Linked DNA regions of Danio rerio. The protein of the gene in region 3 purifies or fractionates together with the protein of the main gene of each other region. This does not show direct contact. Links are inferred from orthologs where the notes say so. Each region holds a gene or a part of one and is shown on either strand. Other genes may lie near its edges.

Region 1 (3,291 bases), on a different chromosome or scaffold from region 3:
AGACAGTTATGACTTTAAATCAGCATATTATTTCTGAAGGATCATCTGACACTGAATAATAGAGAACTGTTGCTGAATCTTCAACTAATTAAATATAATCAAATAAAATCAGATTTTAAGTTTCCCTATTTTACAATAATATTTCCTGTATTTTTGATTGAATTTAGCTTTTGGTGAACTCGGAATACCTTAAAAAACACCAACCTCAAATATTTGATAATTTGCTTTTTGTTTAACAAAATGAAGCCGTCACATAAGTGTTTCCAGTCAGAAACAATACTGTGTACTTTTTATAATTATTTTTTTTTGTGGGGGATTTCATCGATAATAGATAGAACAGTAGAGTACTGACAGAAAAAGCATGCAAAGCAGAAAAAGGGGGAAAAAATAAATAAAACATCGGCATAGGACCTCGAGGTGGGAATCAAACTCGGGTCGCCTTGAGCAGCAGAGTGCATGCATCGATGGACTAACCACTACGCCACTGGCACAATACTGTGTATCATACTAAATACAGTAGTCTGAAACAGTGAAAAAGGGGTTTATTTTGGAGATTTAGAAAACAACAAAAAGGTTTCCACAATTATAGGTCAGTCAATAATCCAAATATTGAGAAATGAAAACAAACATTAACAGCAAACAAATAATATTCATGTGGATCAATTGGACACACTCTGCAGCAACGTGATGTTGTCTCCTTTCAACATAATCCGTCCTGTTAAATACAAAAAAAAAGCCCTCATTGTGAATTTCTTCATAAATTTCTTTTATTTTTGCTTCTCTGAAATGCATATTTCACCACAAGTGTGAAGTTCACACTTACCCAAGGGCTTCCTGTTTTTGGTCTTCATGTGAACCTCCTCCGCATCGTCCAAAACCAAATTCATGTACTCATCAAACCCCTTGAAAGAAAAGAAATCATAGAGGCTTTTTAATAAGACGTGTGACACAGTTGATATGAAAAACTTCCATATTTCCATAAAAACAATCCATATTTAAAATGTGTAAATAAATGGGCATATCATGCATGGTGCACTGATGTGTCAAATATTTAGTTTTTTTTACAAAAAAAGTGTTCATTTATTTTTATTTATTTATTGCCACATCAGCAACCTTTGGCTGTTTCGTGGCAAAATGGATATAAATAAAATATTACATGATAAAAACATTAGTATTACAATAAAAAAAGTTACTTTAGGCGAATATATAAAATCAAAATAGATCAAATTCACAAAAAAATACATCAAAAGTTAAATATGATTTTTTAGTTCAATTTGTGATAAATTATTTAAAATTCTTTCTGGTGATACCTTTTTAAAAATGTCCATCAAAATACTCTCCTTAAATTTTGTCTAATGGTTTTTAAAACTTCCACATTCCACCAAAATATGTTTTATGGTAAAAGCAGCCCGGCAGTAATTACATTTAGGTAATAAAAAGAGTGTACATCAGAAAATAAAGAGCAGGACTGGCTTGATATCAATAAGTCAGCAAGAGTAATAAGTCACAAAAATTATTATAATGCCTTAAGCCTCATTCACACTACGAGTGACTTGCACCAGCAAAGTGAGTGAGCAACTTCTGGAGACCTTCTGAGCAGCGTGACCAAGTTGAGAATCTTTCAACTATGAAAAGCAACTTTCTTGAGTGATAGCCAACAGGAGCGCGAGTAGAGCTCACATGATCCTCTCTCTGCTCGCTCAGAGGCTGGTTGTGTTCTCCGTGCTCTAGACCTACACAGACCTGCACTTGCAGCAGTTCACCACCCTGAGCGGCACGCAGCTTCAAAGTCACTGCTAGTGTGAATGAGGTATTACTCACACATACATACACACACCTGGAGCATGTATACACTGAACCTTGGATTGCACTTGAATGGTCAGATGTGCATCGACTTATTGCATAATATCTGCATTCGTTTGTGCATTAGGTCTAAATATTTAAAAAACCCTGCTGCTGTGTGTCTTTCTTCTTTATCTTTAAAATAGATTTTAAAAACTTACAAAGAACTACACTCACCGGCCACTTTATTAGGCACACCTTACTAGTGCTGGGATTGCCTTTTGCCTTCAGAACTGCCTTAATTGCTGAAGAGTGAAAGAAAATATCCCCACACCATCACACCACCACCAGCAGCCTAAACAATTGACAGAAAGCAGGATGGATCCATGCTTTAATGTTGTTGACGCCAAATTCTGACCCTACCATCCGAATGTCACCGGAAATGGAGACTCAGACCAGGTGTCTTTTTTCAATCTTCTATTGTCCAATTTTGGTGAGCCTGTGTGAATTGTAGCCTCAGTTTCCTGTTCATAGCTGACAGGAGTGGCACCTGGTGTGGTCTTCTGCTGCTGTAGCCCATTCATCTCAAGGTTGGACGTATTGTGCATTCAGAGATGCTCTTCTGCAGACCTCAGTTTTAACGAGTGGTTGCCTTTCTATCAGCTGGAACCAGTCTGGCCACTCTCCTCTGACATCAACAAGGCATCTGCGCCCACAGAACTGCCCCTCACTGGATATTTTCCCTTTTCAAACAATTCTCTGTAAACCCTCGAGATGGTTATGCATGACAATCCAAGTAGATCAGCAGTTTCTGAAATACTCAGACCAGCCCGTCCTGCACCAACAACCATGCCGCGTTCAAAGTCACTTAAATCACCTTTCTTCCCCATTTTGATGCTCCGTTTGAACAGCAGCAGATCGTTTGGATAATTTCTATATGCCTAAATGCATTGGCTGTTGCTCAATATGCAATCTTTAGTGGTCTTGCGTCCTTGTAGTCATGTAATGTCATCATCAGCTGCCAAAGTTCAGTTCCAAAACTCAAGACTGCAAGAACAGAGGACTCGTGAAACTTCCCGAATGCGTTCTTGATATTGAGGATGCAGCGATGCAGACTTGAGCAACGATCTTGCTAGAATTCCCAGAAGTCATTGCGACTGGAGGTGGGAAGCGCCGCATTTTATTTAGATTTATTATTAAAGTTCAGAGATATCACTTATTTACCTCAGGAGTTTCCCTAAATGAAACGGTAAATATAAACATTACCATAGACATCTTAATAAAGGAATAAAGGCAATAAGGGTGTTTGTTTGCTGAAATTTGTATTAAAATCTGTTTTATTGATACTGTGCAACGTATATTTATAATGTTTTTATGCAGAGTATATATTTTGAAAAGGGGAAAAACAATAACTCATTGTATGAATGCTGTAATGTTTAAATTTTAAATTAAAACGAGTGAAGGTCACGTGACCATCAGGAAGAACGCAGCATCCCATTTCCCACTGGA
Region 2 (3,661 bases), on a different chromosome or scaffold from region 3:
AAATTCTACAGACAGTACTCCATAATGACAATGTGAATTTATTTGAAAATTTTTTTGAAATAAAAAAAAAAAAAAAACTGAAAAATCACATGCACATCAGTATTAACAGCCTTTGCTCAATACTTTGTTGATGCACCTTTGGCAACAATTACAGTCTGAAGTCTTTTTGAATATGATGCCACAAGCTTGGCACACCTGTCTTTGGGAAATTGTGCCCATGCCTCTTTGCAGTACCTCTCAAGCTCTATCAGGTTGGATGAGAAGTGACGGTGTACAGCCATTTTCAGATCTCTCCAGAGATGATCAATAGGATTTAGGTCTGGGCTCTGGCTGGGTCACTCAAAGACGTTCACCAAGTTTTGTGAAGTCAGTCTATTTATTTTGGCGGTGTGCTTTGGGTCAACATCCTGCTGGAAGACAAACCGTCGCCCCAGTCTGTGGTCAAAACCACTCTGAAGCAGGTTTTCATGCAGGATGTCTCTGTACATTGCTGCCTTCATCTTTCCCTCTATCCTGACTAATCTTCCAGTTCCTTCTGCTGAAAAACATCCCTACAGCATGATGCTGCCACCACCATGCTTCATTGTAATGATGGTATTAGCCTGGTGATGAGCGGTGCCTGGTTTTCTCCAAACGTAACGCCTGGCATTCACTCCAAAGAGTTCAATTTTAGCCTCATCAGAGCAGAGAATTTTGTTTCTTATGGTCTGAGAGTCCTTTAGATGCCTTTAGGCAAATTCCAGATGGTGAGTGGCTTCCGTCTGGCCACTCTACCATACAGGCCTGACTTGTGGATTGCTGCACAGATGGTTGTCTTTCTGTAAGGTTCTCCTCTCTCCACAGATCGCTGGAGCTCAGACAGAGTGACCATCGGGTTAATGATCACATCCCTGACTAAGGCCCTTCTCCACCAAGATAGCCGGCCAGCTCTAAGAAGAGTCCTGGTAGTTTCAATCTCCTTCCACTTACGGATGACTGAGGTCACTGTGCTCATTGGAGTATTCAGAGCAGCAGAAATTTTTCTGTAACCCTTCCCAGCCATGTGGCCAGAGACAATCCTGTCTCAGAGGTCTACAGACAATTCCTTTGTCTTCATGCTTGGTTTGTGCTTTGACATGCACTGTCAACCCTGGGACCTTATATAGACAGGTGTATGCCTTTTCAAATCATGTTTAATCAACTGAATTTACCACAGGTCAACTCCAATTAAGCTGCTGAAAGATCTCAAGAATAATCAGTGGAGCTTCACCGCAAAAGCCTGGTTTATACTTCTGCGTCAAGTGACCGGAGAAACCATTGGCGCATGCAACGCCCATAGCTTTGCATTTATACTTCTGCGCGCTGTCACTGTTGGTCTGCATTAACACTTCGAAATGCTAGTTGGCAGTGAGGTGTAAGTGTTCCTGTGTGAAGTCTCTTCGCTGCTGTTTTGCTTTTCCTGAACACTTCCTGGATGTACCAGCGGCTCAAACTCGCTCATTTTGAGGCAGGAACCGGCGGACGTGTAACAACTTTAACTATGAGGTAAACACAAAATAAAACTTTCCATCCGGAGCTCCTTCACGGGACTCCACACTTGTAAACAATCGCTCCATTGGGCTAGTGCCGTTCACACGGCTCTCGGTCCCGCCCAGACTCGTCAGCGATACCAAGCCGACCAATCACAGAGCTTGCGCTACGTGTTGTTGTTGTTGTAACATGTAGTTACATTTTTTGAGAGGTGCACGTCAGTGACGCCGCCGGCCACGGCGAAGGGCTATGCATCAACGCCGTAGCATACGCCGACGTTTGACGCAGAAGTATAAATCAGCCTAAAGGCCGTGTATACTTCTGTAGGTGGTTTTTCAGGCGTTTTATTTTTTAATAAATTTGCAACAATAAAAAAAAAAACAACTTTTTCACATTGTCATTATAGGGTATTGTGTGTAGAATTTAGAAATTAAAGAAATTGTGTGGAAATAAATTAATTTAATCCATTTTGGAATAAGGCTGTAATATGTGGAAAAAAAATAGGAAAATGTGAAGCACTATGAATACTTTCCGAATGCACTGTATAAAGAAAAATACACTGCCTCCTTCAAATTTTCTCCATCAACAGTATATGCACCATAATCTCCATTACCAGAGAAAATAATTGTCTCTTCAGTCTTTTTATAGCCAAATTAATAAAAAAAACATAAGGGGTCAACTATTCCAACCTCATAAAGGAATCTGACAATTTAAACGCTCAAACAATAAACTGTTTTAACAGTACAAAAGTTTTAACGAATTATTCATGCGTTTACATAATCACAGCTTTTTAACACTAGCTGATATGCTTTACTTTTTGAGAACAAGAAAGACGTTTATATATAGTATATTTTTTTTAAAGTAAATGAACATCATACTGATAAAACAGCCTAACTTGTACTAAAACCAGAACATTTATTTAAATTCGACAATTTCACATCATTCACAAGTCACTCTTACCGAATGTATTGCGCGGGGGCCTGTTTATCTGCAGCACGCACAGGCATAGCTGCCGCGATTTTCTGTGAAACCTGTTTCTCCAGAGCTAATCTGGTCTTTTCTGTAAGCTACATCAGAGGTAAAAAGAAAAGTTAATTCATGCTGGTTCTGCGTAATGACCATTTAATTTCATGAGGATCGCTTGATTAAAACATAAATATTTCCATTATCAATGCTGTTTTAACACCACAGTACAAAAGAGTAATGCAAGTTAAGGATTTCAAGCCAGTGCATGTATATTTAGGGTTTCAGCAGGTTTCTTTAAGTGTAATTTAAGACTTTTTAAGACCCTTTCAAGGCCAATATGAGTGAAATTTCAGCCTTATAGGGACTTTTTTTAATAGCCTGGTTACTTCTGTAAATAGTTTTTATATTAATGGAAGATCATGTAAAGGGATGTGTTGCATTAGTTTTCATTCCCTGATTAGGAAATGTAATTTGGAGAATTTGCTGTAAAAATGTCTAGAAGCTGTTGTGAATTGTATAATTTTGCAATAAAAAGCTTAAATATAAACAAAATAGTTTTAAGATGGATTATTGGGTGTCAGTCCGTTAGGGTAGCTTTACTTGGACACAGGAAAATTAAGACCGGTTTGAAATGACCTATGCCACTATATTTTAGTGAATTTAAGACTTTTAAGGGCTAAATTTCTGCTTTTAAAAGCATTAAGACTTTTAAAACCCTGCAGACACCCTGATATTAGACACTAGTGTGTAAATGAAGACTAACAAACCTAATGTTAATTAAATCAAACAACACTGATAGAAAATTGTTAAGCTTTCTTATTATTCAAAGTTCACTTCAGTAACTTAAGAAAAATGTTAACATTTACATAATTTCAAAATGACATGCATTAATTGTGTAAATATTTAATTATAGTATTTAATTTTTAAACAAAAGGGTACATTATAGCAGTCTTAAGCATGATTGTGAAACTGAAACAAAATTGTGAAATCTATCAGAAACTGCTACTGAATTGTAATCTTACCTCTCTCACTGCCTCTTCATCTGGTTTCTGCAGCTCTGGATCATCTTGGTTTAGCACTTCCTTAGGAAGCATGTCTGTGTATTTACTAAATATGACCTATTCAAAAAAACAAAAAAATTATGAAAACAAATCATATCCTTAGGTAAGAGCCACTGAATATATGA
Region 3 (3,033 bases):
AATGACCACGGGCCACCGATCAAGGATGTTTCACAGAATATTTTCAGTCAGAAACATAGTGAATTCCTTGATAAAACATGCTATTGTTGACGGTTTCATAGAAAAGATGTAATCACTACACGTAGATGTAAAGATTATAAACTGTCTGAAATTTTCTGCTGAAGTATGGTTTCACATAGTTTGAGACCGAGAGAATCCAGGACCCTCATGTTTGTGCAAAATCCTAAATGAGAATCATACCTCCACATCTGCGCTGTTATGTCTAAACAGAATGCAGGAAACAAGCTAACAAAAGCTCATAATAGGAGTCTTCAAGTCAGATAATGAACACAAATATAAAACAAAATAGGACCGGCTTTAATAGTACATGAAACTAAAATAACTTCCAATAAAGCACAAAATACACAGGAAATGATTTTCAAAATTAATGTTAGGACAATCCTTACACTGTCCGTTTGTTGGTGATAAAACTTGGATTGTTCAAACTAAATTTTCAAAGTTTTTTTTTTTTTTTTAAATTCAGACTTTAGTAGTGCACGAATCATCAAACAAAAGATCAATGACTTTTAATACACAAACGTTTATTCAGCCGAACTAAGCAACATTATAGTAAGAACAGATGTGTGACTGAGCAAAAGAGCGAACTTGACAGACCAGGACACGTCGAGTTAAAAGATGTACTGAAGATAAATCACACTCCTCAGAGTCTCTGCTACTACCTTTACCGTCACTGTGCATAGAGCCACACCGTAAAAACAGAAAACTCTAATCCAAAGATCTAAAAGCGTCATGTTTGACATACTCCTTTTTTTCTGTATTTTCCTGTTCTTTAATTAGAAATGAATTTTAACCCACAAAATCTGTGGTGCTGGTTACAATCTACCAGTAAACATAAAAAAATGGACCGAGTCCTATAAACCATGAAATACACACAGATATAGGAGGGAAGAGAGAGTGCACATGTAAGGATAGATATATTCACAGAAAGTACTCCAGCTCATAACGAACATACGAGTTCTTCTCATCGTTGAAGATTAGAGGATAATGTGCGATTAGAGCATCCTGGGAACCAATATAAATGGAGTTGTAGATCTTCCAGTAAACATCACGCACTTTCCGAGCAGGATGAAACAAACCCTTTTGAGTAAGAAAAAGGGGATGTAAGATAAGCATCCAAGTGAAAGAATTATTACATGAAAACAAAGAAACATTATAGCCCAGATACTATGTTTGAAATGTAACGCACCTGTAAGCAATACTGCAGCATTCGGCAGGGTCCAATTGCCACTCGCAGACCCTCAAGAGCCCCCATTACAGCTTGGATGACATGAGGAGACGTTTCAAAGACATTTGGCCAAACATAGTTGAGTAAATGATTAAGAGAATCTTCACAGCCGAAGCCATAAACCCCTAAAGACATGTGCTGCACCACAGCACTAGCAGTCTGTCTGTGTACCAGATCTCTGCAATGGAGACAAAGTACAGAAGTTAGAGATGGCTACAGAGTAAAACAATTAAGATCTAAATCAGACAGTCAGATAAAAATAATAGTAATCTGTTAAAAGACATGTTGTGCGCTCCCAGGTCATTTAAGTGGGCCTATTATGGCTCTTTTTAAAAGATGTGAAATAAGTCTCTGATGTCCCTAGAGTATATGTGAAGTTTCAGATCAAAATACTGCACAAACTATGTTTCATAACTCTTTGCAACTGCCCCTTTCAGGCTATGATCCTAATTGTGCCATTTGGGTGACTGTCGCTTTAAATTCAAATGAGATTGAGCTCCCAGCCCTCTTTACAGAATGCCTGTGTCAGTATAATGGCAGATACAAAAACAAGACTAAGGTCCTATTCTAATGAGGGAGAGTGTCCCTAATGGGCGGGGCTTCCCTCTCTGATGACATATACAAAGGGAGAACGCAGTTTAAAGTATTTATGAAGTGTGATTATAAACATTAAAATTAATAAAGTCTTACCATTAGAAGCTGATTATATGGTTATACAAGTAATGTTTGCACAATAGGTTCCCTTTAACAGATTATTTACACATTGCAGAACATATCTGTTGACAATTACTTATCTTTTAAACAATTGTGCTTAATAATTTAACTTGTTTTGGAAAAACTACATCAATCTATAATAGTGAATAAAAAATTGCACCAATCTTAAGTCTCATGCAAAGCTCCCCAACTCTTATGAACCACAGTGTTGACCAATGAGCAGGTCATCCAACACTCTCAAAACAACTATAATACTTCTTCAATATGGATATTCTGCAATAAACTTGACATTGCTTCTATAGATACTAACAATAGCTTCAAATGAACAGTCTTATATTGCTTAAAGGTGCAGTAGGTGATTGTCTTCAGGAACATTTTTTGTTGTGCTGGTTAAAAGTCACATTCCAACAGTTTTGATTAAAGTAAAGATCTTAATTTGTTTTTATGTATTTTTATACTCTGGGTAAAGCATAAGACAAAAAAATTTTCATCCTAGGGTTGGGCCAATAAACAATGCCATCGTCGACGGCCAATAGACAACACAATGCTGAGCCAGCACTGCTGATACTTCGCCCCGCCCTTGTCGCAAACCCGCTCGCGAAAAATACACACTTAGGCCCCGTTTACACCAATACGTCTTACTACTAAAATGCCATTTTAGAACGAAAATGATCCATATCCACACCATGTTTTACCTAGCATTTCTGAACAGCCCTCCACCTTTATCAAGGATGTACAGCTGGATCGTGTCTCACTTTAGTTGTTTAACATGATATTTATTTAATCTTGTCGCTATCTAATGACTCTTTGGTCTTTTGAATCTATCAGGTAACGTGTCACAGAGTCAGTACACTGCTTCAATCTTTCACTTTCACAGTTGTACTTGGTAATTTTAGTGAAAACCTCAGATAATGTTGGTTGTTTTTTAACCAACCAACCTCCTGCATAAAGTTCATCCAATTAAATATTGTCAGGTGGACAGTTCCCATAATGCTGATAAGTAGCCCAAGCTGTCTGTCAATGAATGTAGATTT

Evidence for each region.
Region 1: the proteins of sf3b1 (region 3) and snrpe purify together in Homo sapiens (co-immunoprecipitation; 4 studies listed by BioGRID and IntAct, counting the BioPlex papers as one, with this or other methods). This does not show direct contact. The link is inferred for Danio rerio from reciprocal best matches to the Homo sapiens genes SF3B1 and SNRPE.
Region 2: the proteins of sf3b1 (region 3) and snw1 purify together in Homo sapiens (co-immunoprecipitation; 3 studies listed by BioGRID and IntAct, with this or other methods). This does not show direct contact. The link is inferred for Danio rerio from reciprocal best matches to the Homo sapiens genes SF3B1 and SNW1.

The regions. Positions count from the first base shown.
Region 1 is NC_133186.1:40,127,043-40,130,333, reverse strand, and holds the end of snrpe (small nuclear ribonucleoprotein E), read right to left. Parts: intron 903-3,291; coding exon 824-902; intron 716-823; coding exon 660-715; 3' UTR 521-659; downstream 1-520. UniProt on the Homo sapiens protein: Plays a role in pre-mRNA splicing as a core component of the spliceosomal U1, U2, U4 and U5 small nuclear ribonucleoproteins (snRNPs), the building blocks of the spliceosome.
Region 2 is NC_133195.1:5,545,790-5,549,450, forward strand, and holds part of snw1 (SNW domain-containing protein 1), read right to left. Parts: intron 3,594-3,661; coding exon 3,498-3,593; intron 2,577-3,497; coding exon 2,470-2,576; intron 1-2,469. UniProt on the Homo sapiens protein: Involved in pre-mRNA splicing as component of the spliceosome. As a component of the minor spliceosome, involved in the splicing of U12-type introns in pre-mRNAs.
Region 3 is NC_133184.1:33,841,375-33,844,407, forward strand, and holds the end of sf3b1 (splicing factor 3B subunit 1), read right to left. Parts: intron 1,464-3,033; coding exon 1,247-1,463; intron 1,138-1,246; coding exon 979-1,137; 3' UTR 561-978; downstream 1-560. UniProt on the Homo sapiens protein: Component of the 17S U2 SnRNP complex of the spliceosome, a large ribonucleoprotein complex that removes introns from transcribed pre-mRNAs.